Linked DNA regions of Diceros bicornis minor. The protein of the gene in region 1 interacts with the protein of each later gene in a biochemical or structural test. Links are inferred from orthologs where the notes say so. Each region holds a gene or a part of one and is shown in the gene's direction. Other genes may lie near its edges. The genes, in order: USP51 and ZEB1.

Region 1 (9,331 bases):
AGGTCAAACCTGCAGTCAATAAGCGCCGTGGATGTTTCTCAGATGTCACTGCACGCAATAGGATGCCCACTTAAGCAGTGGTCGGCATGGCATCTAATGATTTGTGTGAAAATTTATGTCATTACTTTAAAACTTCTCACAGGTACTATTATATACACTTACTGGCATGGAGATATTTCAGTACTAAAAAAAAATTATGGTTACTGGTGTGTACTATCTGAATATCAACTCCACATTCATGCCCTTCTGCTGAGCCTCCAGGCAAGCCCCTCTTTCAGAGTCTCTGCATAGTCAGACCTGAGGGGATCCTCCAGTTATAGCTCCAGCATCCTCACCCCTCCCCTACTGGTACATGCAGCCCATTGGCTTCTTCAGTGAATGGGGGTTTCCTGACTCCCTCACACAAATACTCGGTAATTTACTCAGAATTGTGTGGAAACATAGCAGACTGAGCCACACGCTCCACTTACATTCTACTATCTAAAGAGCTGAAGCAAATAAATGATAAGGAGACAGAATATAGCACCGTGTCAAAAGTTCTGAAGGCTCCAGGGCCAGCACTTCCCATTCTCATCTGTGTGATCTTCAGTCAATGTGAAATGATCCCTCTGTTTTCACAACTGTCAGGTGTGGATAACGATACCTACCTTGCACTACAAGTGATAGGATACATTTTAATGGGTGTAGAGAAGAGTTCATAATATGCACTTAATAAATGGTTTGTAATACATTTGCCCACTAAGCAGACAAAGTGCTCAGGGCATTATGAAGCGAGAGCAGTCAGAATATGGAATTCAGAGAGGTCTGTGCATATGGATGGGGAAAAGACCAGGGTCTTTATTTTTACCTACCTCTACCTTAAATTGAGCATGTCCTTCAATTATGAACCTAGGCAAGAGACCACAGTAATATTAGTAGTACATGTGACAATGTCACCAATAAAGATTTTCATATCACATTACATTTGTTTCACACTTCTCAAAGTATTGTTTATGCTCATCACTACTTTGAAATTATGGTAGTTGCTATGTCGGTATCACTAGACACTGTTATTTAATGCGTTAATAAAGACGCACTTATGGTATCAAATCACAGTATTTTTTTAAAAAATTCAAAACCATATTTCAGTTTAATAAATTTGTTATAATGCTGTGCATTTAATTTTATGCATTTATTAAAAACAAATATTATTCTCTTAAGGAAGCCACAGGCTACATCCAGCTGCCCAAGAGTCCCATGGCACCAAAGGTTTGAGAATGCCTCTGCTAGGAGATGTTTTAAAATGAGAATCCAGAGGGAAGGGAAGGGACTGGGCTGACATGCTGGGTATTTTCATGTATGTTATCTCACAGACAGGGACAATACGGAAGCTTCTGCGGTTGAAGCACTGGAGTCATGAAGGGCAGAAAGTGAAGATGAGGTTGGACATATTTAGGGTGGGGGGAGTTGGAGTAAGTTGGGCAGTTTCCGTTTTGAAAAACCAAGAGGCCACAGGGAGTCACCATGGGTCTGTGAGCAGGAGAGTTCACATAGCAGTGGTGTCTGAGGCTGTTGTTCTGAAGGCTGGAGGCAGACCAGCTAGGAGCTGGGGCACAGGGAAGAAAGGGAGCAAAAGAAGGGATCCAGCGGGAGAGGGGGCAGGAGGCTGGCAGGCAACGTGGGTCCCAGAAGACCTAAACCAAGTTCACAGCACTCTCCCCGCAGACCTAGTCAGGGACAGGCAATGGCTACAAGGCTGCCTTTTGGAATGCTGGCCTCAGAGAAGTGAGGTGATTGAGGAGAAGAGGCCCAGGTTGGGAGAAAGATGCTGCGTGAGGTTGCAGGGGTCTTGTCTTAAAGGTCCTGAGAGGCACCAGGGGCACAGATGCAGGCTTCTTCCAGATCCCTCTCTTTCTTGTTCCACTCCATCCCAAACCACCCCCAACACCTGCTGCAGATAGAAAACCGTAAGAGCAGCCAAAATAAAATAGTTCTGGGAAACCAGCCACATCAGAAAGGGTTCCTGCTACTAAGGCCAGATGGCCTTGACCTGTGGTTCTTTATACATTAACCCACAGCAGTGGTTCTCAAAGTCCGGTCCCCATAGCAGCAGCAGCAGCATTCAGCACCAGCATTAGCTGGTAAATTGTCAGAAACATAAATTATTGTGCCTCAGCCTAGTTACACAGCTAGCAAACGACTGAGTCAGCATTTCCATCTAGGTCTGCTAACCCAGAAATGAGCAACTCTTTTGTTAGCTGTGGCTGAGCAAACGCCCTTACTTGGGGCGGGGGAAGTATTTTCCTTCTAAGTTAGTCTACAACTCCAAAGAGCTTCCCCTCCAGGTACTTCTACATGATTGAGATTTGGACATGTTTTCCAGCTGCACTGACACAGGACACCTTCTTTCTTTGTGGGCAGTCTCTTCATGCGGCCCTCCCTCTGCTGACAAAGGGGCAGGGTTAGGAGAGGGTGAGGGGCTGGGGCAGGGTCCAAACTGAGGAACCCAACAGGATTCTCCTTAGAGAGGCTGGGCCCAGCGGAGCCTTGCCTGTGTAGTGCTGCTGTGCTCTGAGGGACCCCCTCCAGATCTGGGGAATCAGAGAAGGCCTCCTGACAGAGGGAACATTTGAGCTGGGTGTAAAGCAGGGGGAAACCAAGGGGGAGGCCAGATCCTTGCAGATCAGTCCAGACTGAAGACAACTCTGGGGATGCAACTGGGGCAGGACCTCTGGGGTGACTTCGGAGTCATCGTGGAATCCTGAGGACCTGCTCCCTTCTCCCTGTTGTAGCCCTCAGTGCTCTACTGTCAAGAGGTGGATCAGAATCACAAGGTTCGGTTTGGGTGGAGCAGGCGAGTATGTGGGGGCAATGACTGGCTGTTTTTTAGGTAGAGGTGGTACTGTTGGGAATTCCAGGGCCACTGAGCTCTCCTTACCCCACTCCAGATTTCTGCCAAAGGAAGGACACACAAGACAATGGGTAATTCAGATGGAGGGGAAGAAGCAAGGGAGGTAGGAGGGACTGCCCCTCAGGCCATCAGAGGCCTTCACCTTCCCCTGTGCCACCCACCCACTCACCAGCAGGAGGGTAGGCTATTTCCTCTCTCTGACGCTGCCTCCCCTCAAAGTCCTCCTGGGCACCCACTAGTGACTCCATTTCTGCTTCTCCCACCTCACTGCCACCTTGTGTGTGTACTCCTCCACCCTCTGGTGCAATCTATCTAAATTCCACCTCTAAATCTCTAATGTTTACACAGGACCAAGTTCTACAGTGTTGGCAAATCCTGCTGTCCTTGTTATTATTACTATTATTTTTACTAAAAGTCCTTTGAAAACTCCAGAAGAAGACAAACTAATGTGTCAAAAGGCACCTCAGTTTGAGCAGATCATCCCATCTTTTGAGGCTCTTTCTCAAGGCTCCTATACCGAGAGCTTAGCTGTGTGCAGAGAAACTGAAAATTCTAGCCTGAAAACAGTAAGCCTTCCTTCTCTGCTGTGAGGTTGTGGCAGTTAGAACCATGAGAGCGGCAGTGGCCTTTCCACTCAGCTACGTGGCCATTCGCTGACTTGGAGGCCAAGTACCTGTGAATTGGAAACCTCATTAGGATTCCTGCTAAGTTGTCATGAGATTATGGTAAGAACTGCTAACAGGTCAAACCAGCTCTTTTCTTACTCGGGGAGCTGAGTTGTAAAGATGATGTGTACCTTGCTTAAGGTTACAAATACAGCTAATAATGATGGACAAGCATAAGAGCATTGCTCTCTTGTCTCCCGGGCAAAGGTTCCTGCAAACATATTTCTCTGAAGGAGACTAACTCTGATTTGAAACTGTCAACCTATAGTCACTCTGAACTATAGGACAGTCATGATGGTTCTTCTCTCCAAGATCATGTTGGTCTGTGCTCACTCTGAAAATTCATACAGATTATGGAATCCCATTGATATCCTAAACTCACTGACATCCATTTTGGGAAGGCACCTACAAGATACTACTCTCAAGCCTCAGAGAACTGAATGCTAATCCTGAAGTTTAGAAAGGAGGTGCATGACTGCCCCAGAGAGGTTAAATGTAGCACTAAACATCCTCACTGATGAGCAGGAATATTCTTGGGATTGGACAGGAAGGGCAACAAGCCCTGGAGGTAGCAGCTTTCATGGGAGTTGTGGCCTTGGATGCTGGATCTGTTAAAGAGAAGGGAAAATCTCCTGGGTTAAACTCCTGGAGAACATAAATCGTTTTACTGTTTCTCACAGCACAACCTAGCACAGTAGTACAGTTAAGGGATCCGCGTACATTTGTTGAATGCATGCTCATGTACATGAACTGCTTAGGAGGGATAATCCAGTGAACTGAGCGATAACTTGGAGAGAGCTTCAAAAGAGAGAAGTGTTCTCTTTTCCTCTACTCTAAGTATCAGGCATCTTGCCACAGGCTGATTTAAAGTGGGGACACAGAAAGAGAGGTGTGAAAGATAAAACCTGCCATAAAGATCCTTTACTTTATATATAGTATGATTTAGTGTTCATAATAGGTTAGGATTATTATTATTTCCATTTTTGTTTAACAGACGACACAACTAAGGCTCAGAGAGGTTAGGTGTTTTATCTGAGTTCACACAGCTAGCAAGTGCCTGGGCTCTCCTATCGGAGCCTGAGCCCTTGCTAATGCTTCCTCTCCCCACACTCCAGAATAATATTCCTGTCTCCACTTACCTCCCAGAGATCAGACTCTGATGGGTCCTTGAGGGATTCCTGCCAGGGAGTTGCCACCTCTGCGACCCCCCACCCCCACTCCCACCCCCACTCCAATTAATCTTTTTTCTGCTTTGGGTTCTGTTCCTGGAGCCAGGTCAGGCCAGAACCTCCATTCCAGGAGTTTTCTCTAGAATTTGTCGCTGTGGATACCTCCAGTAGAAGCAGTTTCGGGAAGGAAGAGGTTTGTTTGCGCGGGACAGCAGGGCCATTCATCACGGCACGAGAGCAGCGACTGGGGGCCACATGTCCAGAGGGGAGGGGCAGGGGGCGGCCCCCGTGTGACCGCCCCTGAGGAGAGGTCAGGAGAGAAGGCTGGCTGAGGAGCTCTTGGAGAGCAGCAGCTGCTGACGTTCTGTATCACGCGCCGGGGCCCAAGGTAACTAACTCAGAGATTTTTAAACAAACAGAAGGGCTGGGGGCGTTGCGGAGCCGGGGGCGGGAAGGAGCAGAGACTTCGGCGGTCGGGCACTGGAGATGGGGGCGCCGAACGCGTGGTGGGCGTGAGAAGGAGTCCGAATTCTAGGAGTAATTATAGGGAATGAGGGCGCTGAAGCAAGAAACCAGGTGTGAGAGGGAACACAAGCACGAAAGAGCGTTGAGGGTGCAAGAGCGTGGCTGACCAAAAGACAGTGTGCTTGGAGATAGGGGCAAAGGGTGGAACATACCCAGCCCCATAAGCATGGAGGCAAGGGGACATTTTCTTCCCCTCAGCCCATTTTCCATAGGTGGCCCCCTTTCAGCCATTTTTAAGGTAAAATGTTGACCCAAGTGTTTTTTTAGGATATAAGGAAAGAACATCAGAGGAAGCTAGCTGTAGTAAAGCGAGGCTTCGCAAGGTGCAGGAAAGTCAGAGGGTGGCGCCTTTTTTAAAGAAGATTCCATCTCTTTCCACCCTAAAGCTCAGAGCGTACCCCGTCCACAACTTTTCCTTCCTCCGTCCGTCTAGCCGCCCCCCCCCCGCCCCCGTCACCATCCGATCGTCTTTAAAACAGGTAAGGCCTCTATCTCCACACCAGCTCCGGGAGCCTCTGAGTAGAGGGGGTGGAGCCCACAGAGGCCGCTGGCTGAGCTCAAGGGCTGGTGGGAGGGGTCTCGGGGTCGCTAATGGCGCAAAGGGGCTGTGACGCTGGCCTGATCTTTAACAGAAATCTTTGTCTTATTCCATCTACAGTCGCAGCTCAATTCCAGACGCCTTTCTCCTTAGGCCAGGCGGTGAGCTGATGGCCCAAGTTCAAGAAGCTTCCTTGCCCTCCAGCTCTTGGGTCTGCTGGAGCTCCGGAGGTGGGGGAGGAGCATCGCCCGAGGAGGCGGTGGAGAAGGCTGGGGACACGGAGGAGGAGGCAGTGGGGGCGGCGAAGGTGTGTTCAGGCCAGGGAGCTGAGGAGATGAAGCTGGAGCCACTACAAGAGCGTAAGCCCGCGCCTGAGGAGAACTTGACATGGAGTGGCAGCGGCGGCGACGAGAAGGTGCTCCCTTCTACTCCCCCTCGCTGTCAGAGCAGCTGCTCATCCCTTTGCCCGCGCCGCAAGCCTCGCCCTCGGCCCCAGCCCCCTGCCCGCTCCCGAGGCCCCCCCGGGCCTTCGGCCCTACCCCTGCCTCCAGCCGGTCCTTTCCCTCTATCTCTGCCCCTGCCCCGTCGCTGGCGCAGATCTCGGCGTAGATCTCGGCCAGGGTCCAGGCCCCAGACATGGCGAAGCTGTTCTGGTGACCTGGGCGGCTCTGGGGATCGAGGTGGCTTAGGGGACTGGTTGCTGGAGTTGGAGTTTGATCAGGGTCCCACAGGCTGCTCTCATGTGGAGAGCTTTAAAGTAGTTAAGAACTGGAAGAAGAACCTGCGGTTGATCTACCAGCGTTTTGTTTGGAGTGGGACCCCAGAGACTAGGAAACATAAGGCAAAGTCGTGCATCTGTCATGTGTGTAGTACCCATATGAACAGACTCCACTCTTGTCTCACCTGTGTCTTTTTTGGCTGCTTTACCGAGAAACATATTCACAAACATGCGGAAACAAAACAGCACAATTTAGCTGTAGACCTCTATCATGGAGTTGTATATTGCTTCATGTGTAAGGATTACATATGTGACAAAGACATAGAACAGATTGCCAAAGAAACGAAAGAGAAAATTTTGAAATTATTAATTTCCACCTCAACAGATTTTTCTCAACAACAGTGTATGACATCAGGTGTTGAAGAGAAGCAATCAACCTGTGAATCAAAGGAACAGGAGCCAAAACTGGTGAAACCCAAGAAAAAGAGGAGAAAAATGTCAGTCTATACTGTAGGCCTGAGAGGGCTGATCAATCTTGGGAACACTTGCTTTATGAATTGTATTGTCCAGGCACTTACCCATATTCCTCTACTGAAAGATTTCTTCCTCTCTGACAAGCACAAATGTATAATGACAAGCCCCAGCTTGTGTCTTGTCTGTGAAATGTCTTCGCTTTTTCATGCTATGTACTCTGGGAGCCGAACTCCTCACATTCCCTATAAATTGCTGCACCTGATATGGATTCATGCAGAACACTTAGCAGGGTACAGGCAGCAGGATGCCCACGAGTTCCTTATTGCAATATTAGATGTGCTGCATAGACACAGCAAAGATGATAGTGTTGGGCAGGAGGCCAATAACCCCAACTGCTGTAACTGCATCATAGACCAAATCTTTACAGGTGGCTTGCAGTCAGATGTCACATGTCAAGCTTGCCATAGTGTCTCCGCCACAATAGACCCATGCTGGGACATCAGTTTGGATTTGCCTGGCTCTTGTGCCACGTTCCGTTCCCAGAGTCCAGAAAGGAATGACAGCACAGTGAGTAGGGATGACCACATACCAGGAATCCCCTCACTAACAGACTGCCTACAGTGGTTTACAAGGCCAGAACACCTCGGAAGGAGTGCCAAAATCAAATGCAGTAGTTGCCAAAGCTACCAGGAATCTACCAAACAACTCACAATGAAGAAATTACCCATTGTGGCCTGTTTTCATCTCAAGCGGTTTGAACATGTTGGCAAACAGAGGCAAAAGATTAATACTTTTATCTCCTTTCCCTTGGACCTGGACATGACTCCATTTTTGGCCTCCACTAAAGAGAACAGAATGGAAGAAGGCCAGCCACCAACAGATTGTGCACCCAAGAAGAATAAGTATTCTTTGTTTGCAGTGATTAATCACCATGGAACTTTGGAAAGTGGACACTACACCAGCTTTATCCGGCAACAAAAGGACCAGTGGTTCAGCTGTGATGATGCTGTCATCACCAAGGCTACCATTGAGGACTTACTCTACAGTGAAGGATATTTACTATTCTATCACAAACAGGGTCTAGAGAAAGACTAGTCTTATCAGACCACTTACCAAAAAAAAGTAAAAGAAATGAATAGGCAAGGATCCTGAAGTGACACACACACCTACCTGGAATGGACAATGACAGTACCCATACAACAACCAGCACCTCTTGAAAAACACAAAAACCTGTCTGAAATGGACAATGATAACAGCATCTATATGACAATTAGCACCTTGTTATAAAGAACTTATTTTACCATGGCTTATGGGTCTGTAAGAGGGAAAAGAATACTGACTAGTGACCATTCAGCCTTAATAAATGGGAGGAGGTAAAAGAGGTTGAAAATGGTCACATAAAGCATACATAATTAAGTGAAAAGAATGCTTTAGGTGGGGAGAGTGGGACTAGAGATGTTCTGGCACTACTATATGTCATTTGTTTCTACACAAATACTGTGGGAGGTCGGGGAGTATTCCTTCATCAGCAAAAAGCTTCACAGTTGGTGTTCTAGCTGTGGCTGACCAAATAGTTTGAAAAAAAAAAGAGGATATTTTAAAAAGCTTTAAAAGAAAAACATTTATAAAGCAAAAAACATTTTTTAAAAATTTTCAAAGAAAAAATTTTTAAATGTTTAAAAAATTTTAAGTTAAATATTTTTAAAACAAATGTTTCAAAAATTACAAGGAGTTTTTTAAAACTTCAAAATTATTAAAATAAGGCTTAAAAACAAATTTTGGAAAGTCTTAGTTTAAAAAAGGTGAATAAAACAAGAAAAAAATTATAAATGAAAGTTAAAAAAGTGAAACAGTTTTAAAATTAAGAAGTTAAAAGAAAAAAGGAAACTCTTAAAATTAAAAGTTTAAATGAAATAAAATGTTAATATAAATAAATCTTGCCTAAAATATGTGTTGAAAAATCAAAGGTTAACAAAATTCGTGAATAGTTTAATGATTGAGAAATAAATTTTCAAAAAATACAGAATGTAATGAAAATTCAAATTTAAGTTTAGAGAAAAATTTAGAACAATTCAAGACAAAAAGACAAAATTTGTTTAAAAATTTTAAATTTAAAAAGGAAAAATTAGAGAAAATAGAGAATCTTAAAATATATAAAGAACCTTAGACAAGTTCAATTTGAGAAATTTAAATAAAAACTATTTAAACAAAAAGGATAAAAAAATTTAAACCTTTACAAAAACATTTAAATAAAAATCAAAAAATTAAAAAAATTAAAAACATTTAAATAGAAAAAAGTATTAAAATTAAAAAGCTTAAACGTTTTATTTTTTAATTTAAGTATTTTAAAGT
Region 2 (9,521 bases), on another chromosome or scaffold:
CAGTGTTGTAATTAATGGAAACAGAATTCTTTGTTGACAAGAAATAAGGTGAAAAAATACATTTTATTTCTATATGTGTATTACCCAGGCAACGAATGGCACACTCAAAGGATAAATTGAAGAGTCTGATGAAGAGACTGTTTACAGAGATGTGGGCAGGCTTAAGGGAACCAGTAAGAGATAAAGTACCCAAGGACTTGCAACAGGAGGAAATCATTACCATTCCTAGGCCTAAAGGGACACAGGGAAGAAGCAATTTCTAGAACTTGCCAAGACCTATAGCCATGGGTCAGAGTTGTCTGACCAGAGACATGGCCTTAGGTAGAGGAATGAAGCTACTGCCAAAAGCCACAGACAGGCAGGAGGGAGTGCGGGGGAAGGTGAAATAAATATCCTGACCTCTCTCTCTTCCTTTCCTCTGATCATTTGCCAATGCCTCCAAATTGGCTGAAACCAAACAGACACCAGGGCAAAGGAGCCTGGGTGATGTGGTCCACAGAAATCAGCCTCTCAGAGCATGGAAAGGCAGAGAATGGACTTTGAGGGACAGAGAATAACCAGCAAAATATGAAAAAGCAAAGCATTTTACAGAGTTGGAATGATTCAAAAAACCTTGAACCAAAAGAGAAAAGGAATTGACCTGAACAGAGCTGTGTCAGATCTGGGACAAAGACAGACAGAGGAAAGAATGATTAAAAAGCAAAACAGTAGAGAGGGGCACAGTGTGTGATCTATTTATGTAAGTATGATAAGGAGAGTGAGTAAAGAAATAGAGGCACAAGATGAAAGGATGAGAAGGGTCTGACCAGGGATCTTAAAGTTGTGGGTATATTTAAACACAGAGTATCTCCTATTGCTGACTTTTTCTTGTGAGTTTAACACAATGGCAGGACATGTAAAACCTGTTATTGACTGCAAATATTCCAAATACACATAGTCCAAGGATTGAACAGTAGCAATGATTGTAACTGAGGATCCATGGAATATAGAAGGCCAGGGCTGTAGGTCAAAGATGCCAGCCACACTGTAACAGAATCAGTCAGCTGCTCAAAGTCGTCAAGATGGCAGAGAAAAGAAATACGCGGAGGCAAGAGGGAAAACCAGCAGCAGAAACCAGATATCAGACGCCTGATATCACTGTAGATACTTAAAATTCACTCAAATCCAAAATATGTATGTTGCGCTCTCTAGTACAAATTACCTACCTATAGTTAAGTACAGAAAAAATTCTAATCATGTTCATAAGTGATATCAATATTAGAAACTATAATCTATCTTCTGTGGAGCTAGCCTTTGAAAGCAATGTCTTAATTATTGTGATTTTATGGAAAAGATCAGTTTTACATTTTGGGTGCCAGCCCTGGTCGTCTAGTGGTTACGAGTCAGCATTCTCACCGCTGTGGCCCAGGTTCCTTTCCTGGCCAGGGAACCACACCATGTGTCTGTCTGCCGGCTGTACTACTGTGGCGGCTGTGTGTTGCTGTGATGCTGTGAGCTATGCCACCGTTATTTCAAATACCAGCAGGGTCACCCATGGTGGACAGGTTTCAGTGGAGCTTCCAGACTAAGAGACTAGGAAGAAGGACCTGGTTACCCACTTCCGAAAACACTGGCCATGAAAACCCTGTGAAGAGCAGTGGAGCCTTGTCTGATACAGCACCAGAAGGTGAGAGGATGGAGCAGAAAGACCAGGCAGGGTTCTGCTCTGTTGTCCACAGGGGTGCTAAGAGTTGGAATCCACTCCACAGCACTAACAACAAACTTTTGGATGTTCATTAATATCCTTCAAATCTCTCTCTCTACATTTATTTATACTTACATCTCGCTATATTAGACATGTTCCTAAAAGTTGCCCCCCAAATAAGAAGCTCCATGTGTTAACACTTTATTGACATATTAAAAATAGGAGTCTTATTCTCCAGCAGGGGTAAAACCATTTTGTAGTGCAATATATAATAAAACCACACGGAGGTTTGCAGAAAACATCTGTCCCTATTACCTCCCGGGAGGCTTAATTAGAAAAGCTGATGTGGGTCCTAAAGACTGTTGGTTCTACATCACCCCCTAGTCATGGTTCCTTCTTGACTCAGGGACTGTAGAATCTGGTGAAATTGCAGGCAGTGAAACGACCACTGCTCTCTTTTGTGTCATTGTGAACCACATATCCAGAGTTACTCTTGAGCCAAAGACTGAGGAGCAACTTCAGGGGATTCTAAATTTGATGGATAACATCTATCAAATTTTTTTTCCTTCAAAGCTCTAAGATTAAGATTACACGTTAATGTCATTAATTTAATTAATTAATACGTTATCCTTCCATGAAAATAATCAACTTTTTATTTTGATGAAGATTACAGAATCATATTATAAATAAGTTATACTTCTCAAATGTGTTCAGGAAGTAAGGTACATGGAAATCACATGCTCGATGTGGAACACCATGAAACACCTACATTTTAAACTTAAAATGATTTTATGTCAAATTTTATCCTAATACATAAATCTTCTATGGAAAGCAAATAGGTGCAAAGGGTTCATGAAAAATTTATAGGAAAAAACTTAATATTGAAAATATTCTATCCATTTACATTTTTCCCTGTAAATTTAGAAAAGATTATAGTAATTCATTTTTAGCAGAATACCTCCCTTTCAGCATATGCAATCCCAGTGCTCGCTAGAAGCACAGTGTTAACATTTCATTGACGTCAAAAATAGGAGTATACATTGAAAACGTGTGACGGCACCACAATTACTAAAAACCAACAATACAGGACACATGTTAAACTCTTATTAGTATCCCCACCATCTTTTATTTAAATAAGTCTAAATTTTAATAAATTTATTCCTTTTTTAAATTTACTCAAGATTTTTTCCACTTCTTTAGTTATATTTAAGAGGTGTAAGAAGCAACCATTACAATATGCATCAGGTTTACAACAACGATTTATTCTGAGATTTACTTTTGTCTGCTTTCTTTCCAGTCTAGATTTCAATAATTTTGGAAACATTACAGCAAAAAAAGTGTATTAATCAAATATTCAATTTATAACATATGTAATTATTACAGGTTTACAAAATTAAAAATTTGTATTAGATTTGGGATATGAATAATATTTCCTGTGCATATTTTAAAAATAGGAGTGAGCAGAGGTAATCGTTTGGGGAAAATGATTATGGACTATCTAAAACGAAGAGCAATTAACCTCAAAATAATGCAGGATATAAATGACAGTAAACAGCTTTTACATCCACCATTTCAACTGCTCCTTAGAACTAATGTGATGAAAGCAGATAAACAACCCTTACTTTATAGCCAAAAACATTCAGGAAAGGTCAACAATATTGATTGATTTAATAAATATTTACTTACTGAGCATCTACTATGTGACTAGGTACTCTGCTAAGTGATGAGGGCACAGAAATGAACAAGCAAAAAAAAAAAAACAAAAACCAAAAAAACACTGTATCTGTCCACACAGTTAAATAAAGTCTGGCCCAAGCTAACTAAACTAGTAACCACTAAAGTAAGGCAGAAAATGACTTCTACTTGGCTTATCCCTTCACTTTCTCTCTTGGATTTCAAGGTGAGGATGAACACTGAAGAAAGCTAGTAGGGAGGTACAGGACAGGCACTTCAGAAAGAGAAAATGGCATGTAGGATACTTCGTGTGCTACAGTTAGAAAGTATTTTTTTTTTCCTTTCTGATTGGAAATTAGGGTAGCTATAAAAAAGTTACTTGTGGGGGGGGCGGGGAGGGAGGGGGGCGCTGCTAGCAAAAGACAAAGTCTATAACCTGAATCAGAAGGCAACTGAAGAACATGATACAGCTCTTAAGAGGGTAGGAAAAAAAACGTGAACCAAGCAAAGCCTGGACAAGGTTCTGGTTCTGACATGCACAAGTTCAGTCAACATGGTATTGAGAAAAGTGAGGACTGCCTGTACTTAAAATGATCAGTAGAAATAATGATTCTAGTCTTGGCACTGAGGAGAGTAGATATACAGACATAATGTATAGCACAGAATATTTACAGTCACATTTCATGCACCAATAAATAACGCATTCACTTCTCAAATGCCAAAGCCAACGTGGGAGAGAAAATTTTCATCTATATTCAGGATTAAACTTTCTAATTTTAAATTACCAGACTTCAGCTGTAAATTTATTTCAGTTGAAAGGTTTGAGGAGATTATTAATGCATCTTCTAAAATTCTGGAGGGTGTTCAAAAGACTATTTTAACATAATAAAGAATCCTGCCATAGGTATAACAAAAATTATAGGCATAAATTTATCGAAGACCTACTATGTGAGAGCACTGTGCTGGGCGACTTACTATGTTACTTCTAATAGTCTATGTCATGTTTCAGTTTCCTCAATTTCTCTATCAATAATTCTTACATAGTTAATTCATAACTATATTATCTGAAATACAGCTCAGCTCATTTATTCCATAAAGTTGGTCCCAAAGACATTCCCTCACTTGAATGGGGGAGGGGGGAAGGAGCGGAAAGCTAAGTCCTACTGAATACTGAAGACGACTTTCTTGGTATTTGTGGTGTTATCTACGCGGTCTTTCAGAAATCCCCAAACTTGTACAAAGTCAGGGACTCGAGATAGGATCAGCAATCTAACAGTCTCAAAGGCCACACGTGCGGCCGCTGTTTCGTGCCTTAAGGTCCCATAGGGCGGTAACTGCCCATTTAGGTGGTAAATCGTGGCCTGTCGATACCTTCACTCTAAGTCTTGACGCCTACAGCCTACTCTAAGGGGACAGCGGGGAGGAGGGCGGGGCGGCGGAGGCCGAGGTGACAGCAGGTGAGGGCCCGCGCATGAGGAAGTGAGACAGGGACAGCGTGGGTATTACTCATTCCGCTTACCGCCCAGGCGGCTTGCAAGCGGAACTTGTCGTCTCTCTCTGGGTCCAGCTTAAGTTCTACCTAATTGAAATCACTCTCTAGCCCGGGTCGCTCGGGGGAAACCCGCGCGTCCGTGGAAGGGAGGGAGTCAAGTAGCGCTCTCGCGACGCGCGCGTCCTCGCCGTCAGAGGCCGGGCTTCCCAAAGCCGCCCCTCGCCGTGCCTCTGATTCCGGGACTCCCCGGGGAGCCAGGCACGACCCTCTCCCGGGCCCGGGGGCGCGCCGAGCGGACAAACGATGCGTGGGGGGGAGCCCCACCTCGGGGACGAGGGAGGGCAGGTGGCTCCGTCTCTCGGAGGCGCAGCTCTGAGGGCACAGGGTCCCCAGCAGGAGCCAGACCCATACGCGCCCCAGGCGGCCGCGGCGGGCGTGGCCAGTTCAGAGGCGGATCGCCACGCAGCCTCCCACTTTACCTTTCTCACTCCGCCGGCCTGTCGCCCTTCTGGCCACGTCCCCACAGTCTCCTAACGCCCCCTCCCCCGTCCCCCGACACCTGAGGGAAACTTTTCCCTCTCCCCCCGATTCAAACTCAGCGGCTCCTACGGTTGCCGCAAACCGTCCTCTCCCTAGCAACAAGGTTCCGGCCGTAGAGCGAGCGGCTCTAGGTGTAAGGAAGGTGATGTCGTAAAGCCGCGAGTGTCGTAAACCAGGTGCGGTGGGGAGGGGGGAGGGGTGGAGGCGGAGGGGTGGGGGGGAAGGGGGAGGGAGGGGGAGGAGGTGACTCGAGCATTTAGACACAAGCGAGAGGATCATGGCGGATGGCCCCAGGTGTAAGCGCAGAAAGCAGGCGAACCCGCGGCGCAATAACGGTGAGTGGCGGAGGGGACCGGGGAGCGGCGGAGTCAGGGGGAGCCGGGCAGCCGGGGCGCCCCGGGGGTAAGGGGGGCGAGCTGGGCTGGGGGCGGCCGGGGCAGGGACGGGCAAAGTGGAGTGGGAAAGTAGAAAGTAGTGCTCTCTGCCCCCCTCCGCTGCCGCCGCAGCCGGAGCCGCGCCGCGGCCGCTCGCTCTCCCTGAACCGTTATGTCTCTTACCTGGTCTCTCTCCGCCTAGCGGCTCCTGCCGCCCCTGCCGCCTCCCTGGACCGTTAGCCGCCGCCGCATCCCGGCGCAGGGCGGGCGGCCCGGACGCGGCCGGCCACTTTTCTGGGCTCGGGGGAGCGGCTGTTGCTTCTTCTCGCACTTTTCCCCACTCTTTCGCCCCTCGGCGCCTCCCCTCTCCCCCGCCTCCCGGCCCCTCCGCGTTCGGCTCCCTGGGCGCCGAGGCCCCCGGGAGCCGCGGAACGAACTTGTGCCCGGCGCTGACCGTGCAAAGTGGCTTCCGCGCGCCGCCGCCCCGGCCGGCACCGCCGCCCGGGCCCCGCGGCTCGGCCGAACGGGCGGGCGGGCCGGGCCGGGCTGCGAGCGCGCGGCGGGCGGGACGCGGCGGCCGTGGGCTGCGTGTCGTCCGTGCGCGCGTGTGCGCCGCGCGCGCGGCGGGCGGCCCGGGCTCGGCCGGCGGCGGTAAAGTTGGGACCGGCTGGCGAGGCGCGCTCGCGGAGTGGGCATTAGCGGCGCGGAGGCGCGGGTCCCTCAGCGCCCCTCCTCCCCGCGCCTCGGGCCATCGAGCTCCGGGCCCCCGGCCTGGGGGCGCCGAGGCGAGCCCCGCGCGGGAGGACCCGGTGGTGCGGGAGCCGGCGGGCGGGAGCGGGCACCTCCTTGCTGGGGGACGTGTGGATGGCGGCGAGCCGGGCAGCGGGTGTGTGCGCGGAGTTACCTGGGCTCAGACGGGAAAGCACCACAGACAGATCCCCCCTTCCCGGGAAGACTCCTCCGCGCCGGGATGGGGTCCTGCACCTACGCCTCTCTTTTTTCTCTTTCGGTTTTTGGGGAAGTTGTTACCTGGGCCGGACGCTCGGAGCGCTGAAGCCGGATAATGGAGCTTGGATGGCGCTCTCGGTCTCGGGTGGAAGGAGGGTGGGGGAGGGGGCGGACGGACCGACGGACGCGCGGGTCCGCTGCTCGCGCTGCAGCTGCAGTGCTTATTGATTTGTGCTGAGGTGCCGGGGACACACACACCCCTCTGCCTGGCGTGAGAGTTAAAAAAAGCAAAACACGAGAGAGAGAAACGGAGGGAGAGGGAGAGAGCGCGAGAGAGCAGGACCCGAACATGTGGTTGTTGTTGCACAGTCGCCTTTTCCAGTTTGGAGAGACGGTGTAAGTTGATTGTATTTCTGCTTATCTCGGGGGCGAGTCTGTGCTTTCTCTCCCTCTGGTTCAGCAGCGAAATGTCTGCTGATTGTTATTGTCTGGACAGTTCCTGTGGCGAGAGGGGCGAGACTTCTCCGCCCGGGGGCGGCGGGAGCGCGGGGAGAGGACCCCGCCCGCGCCGGCCGGGTACCTGTTTGTATAATAATGGGCGGCAACGGCCTGCGCTGGCTGCAGCCAGGCTATATAAGGAATTACACGTACATTTCGGACCGAGGGGCTCCTTTGCGTTCCTGCGTTATTTTAAAAACGAGTTTTTAAGAGTAGGGCAATAAATGCGCCTCTAATGGGATCGCTGTATCTTCCAGAAAATGAGGAAATACGTGTTTAAGTGAAAACTCGCGCGCGCTCCCCCCGCCCCACCCCCCGCTCTCGGGATCCATTCTCCCTCCCCTCTGGGATGCGAAACGCGAGGTTTTGTAACCTTTCCTGGCAATTTTAGATTTTGTGTGGGATTTCCTGTCGAGAAGCAGATACGAAGATTTAAAGCTGTTTCAAGATGTTTCCTTCCAATCGTAAACATATTTTTAATATATTTGAGCCGACATTAAAATCACTGCTTTCATGAGTGATTTTAGATATTCAAATAAACGTTTTCATTTTAAAGACGTCTGTTAGTTATGACTGATAACTAATATTTGGTATCCTCATTGTGGAGAGATGACTTGTTACAGCAAGGAGCGAAGCATAGGCGATTGCAATTTTAATTTCCTGTTTTAGCGTCAAATAGTGTGTCCTATATTGAGCTGTTGCCGCTGTTGCTGATGTGGCTTTATGAAAGGTAAGTTGGTTCGGAAAGGGCTGTTCGCTCTACCTTATTTAAAATGTTCATCGCCAGAGAAAGGGGCTTTTCTTGTTGCTGACGACATGTGTGTGACATGTGAGTCTGAACCACCCAGCGTCTGTGCAGCTGCTGTAAACATGTTTACCTGAACAGGAAAGAATGGATTTTTCTCCTAAAGATCCTGTGATATGAATATTATACTCATAAGGCATATCAACAGATGACTTAAGGGAAAAAAAGCTATCCTGAAAGGTACTTGAAATCAACAGGAAAAAGAGGTTCTCGATCGCTGCAGCAAATGGCAACTTGTGCAGGTAGAAAAAAGATGGTGTTTAGTTTTCTCCTGCATGTATGTCAGCCCACTCCTGTCTGCTGCTTTCATTCTCAAGGGAGGGATTATTTACCATGCTTGCTGTCAGTGTTTTTCCTTTGTGTTTAATATTAGAAAAACAGATTTGGGGCCGTTTAGCACAAAATGTCTTGTCTGCAGTATGCATTACTCTCAGAAAACAAAAGGTGTTTAAGATAGCACTGTACTACCACAGGTATCTTCCATTTTCATCACTTTTGGCTCTGTCTTAGTATTTCTTTTTGTTCTCAAATGCATTTCATCCATCGCTGTTGATTACAGCCATGCTACTTGATTAAGCCTTATAATTTGCAAATTAAAAATGAAGTTATATGCCATTGTGTTGTGAAACCTCAGGATAGATTCTGGTTAATATGTCTTAGCAACGCGATCATGTTTATGTTGCAGTTGTTTTTTGGAGAGAATTACTTGGAAAAATGTTAACTCAAATCTTTTTAATGAAGGAATAAGTGATGTGTACAGTGAGAGATAGTCATAGAGATACTTAATGCAGTTATTTATATGTAAATCATTTTTTGTTCATTTTAAAATAAGGTATGCAGATTTTACTGCTAAGCCTCCAGTAAAATATTTTAATTTCCTTTCTGGAATATATCTGCTGAGTAGGGTTTTAATGGGAGAATCAAGTAATGTAACTTGACAGGGGTAAACCACTGATATGTAACTTTATGGTAATGATGTTAGTCATCTATAAAGGAGTGGCATTTGAATTGCTTAAATCAATTTTTACCACTTATAATGTAATGCTTTGTTGTATTTTAAAAATCTGTCTTCTCATTTTCCACTTCTCCCTGTGTGGTTTTCTTATTATTACTTTTTTTTTTTTTTTTGGAGAAATGTACTCTATGTACTAATGACCACATGCTGATTAATTCACTTTAGATGGAATAGCAGGTACTTATCTTTCTGTCGTTTGCACCATTTACACTTGCTGTCTTTGGAAACCACCAGTAGAGGATGCTAACAAAAATGATTATTGGTGTAGTAGTACCATAAGTCTCTCTATCTCCTGTTGATTGGGACCTCTGCGTTGATAGGGACCTTCGGTATAATTCTGAGTCTTACTGTTATTTAAAACTAGCCCTGGGCAAATTAAGCTTAAGAATTTTCTAGTGTGCTAAGGCTGGAAAAAAATAGGGATGTTTTAACTTGAACGATTTTATAAATTTGGGCTTTTTAAATCTTGACATTGAGATTGCTGTCAATTT

What was found.
Region 2: the proteins of USP51 (region 1) and ZEB1 form a complex in vitro, tested with the Homo sapiens proteins (2 studies listed by BioGRID). The link is inferred for Diceros bicornis minor from reciprocal best matches to the Homo sapiens genes USP51 and ZEB1.

What each region holds. Positions count from the first base shown.
Region 1 is NC_080781.1:47,391,353-47,400,683, reverse strand, and holds USP51 (ubiquitin carboxyl-terminal hydrolase 51), read left to right. Parts: upstream 1-5,956; coding exon 5,957-8,074; 3' UTR 8,075-8,127; downstream 8,128-9,331.
Region 2 is NC_080775.1:29,629,843-29,639,363, forward strand, and holds the start of ZEB1 (zinc finger E-box-binding homeobox 1), read left to right. Parts: upstream 1-5,667; coding exon 5,668-5,725; intron 5,726-5,947; exon of another isoform or gene 5,948-6,073; intron 6,074-9,521. UniProt on the Homo sapiens protein: Acts as a transcriptional repressor. Inhibits interleukin-2 (IL-2) gene expression. Enhances or represses the promoter activity of the ATP1A1 gene depending on the quantity of cDNA and on the cell type.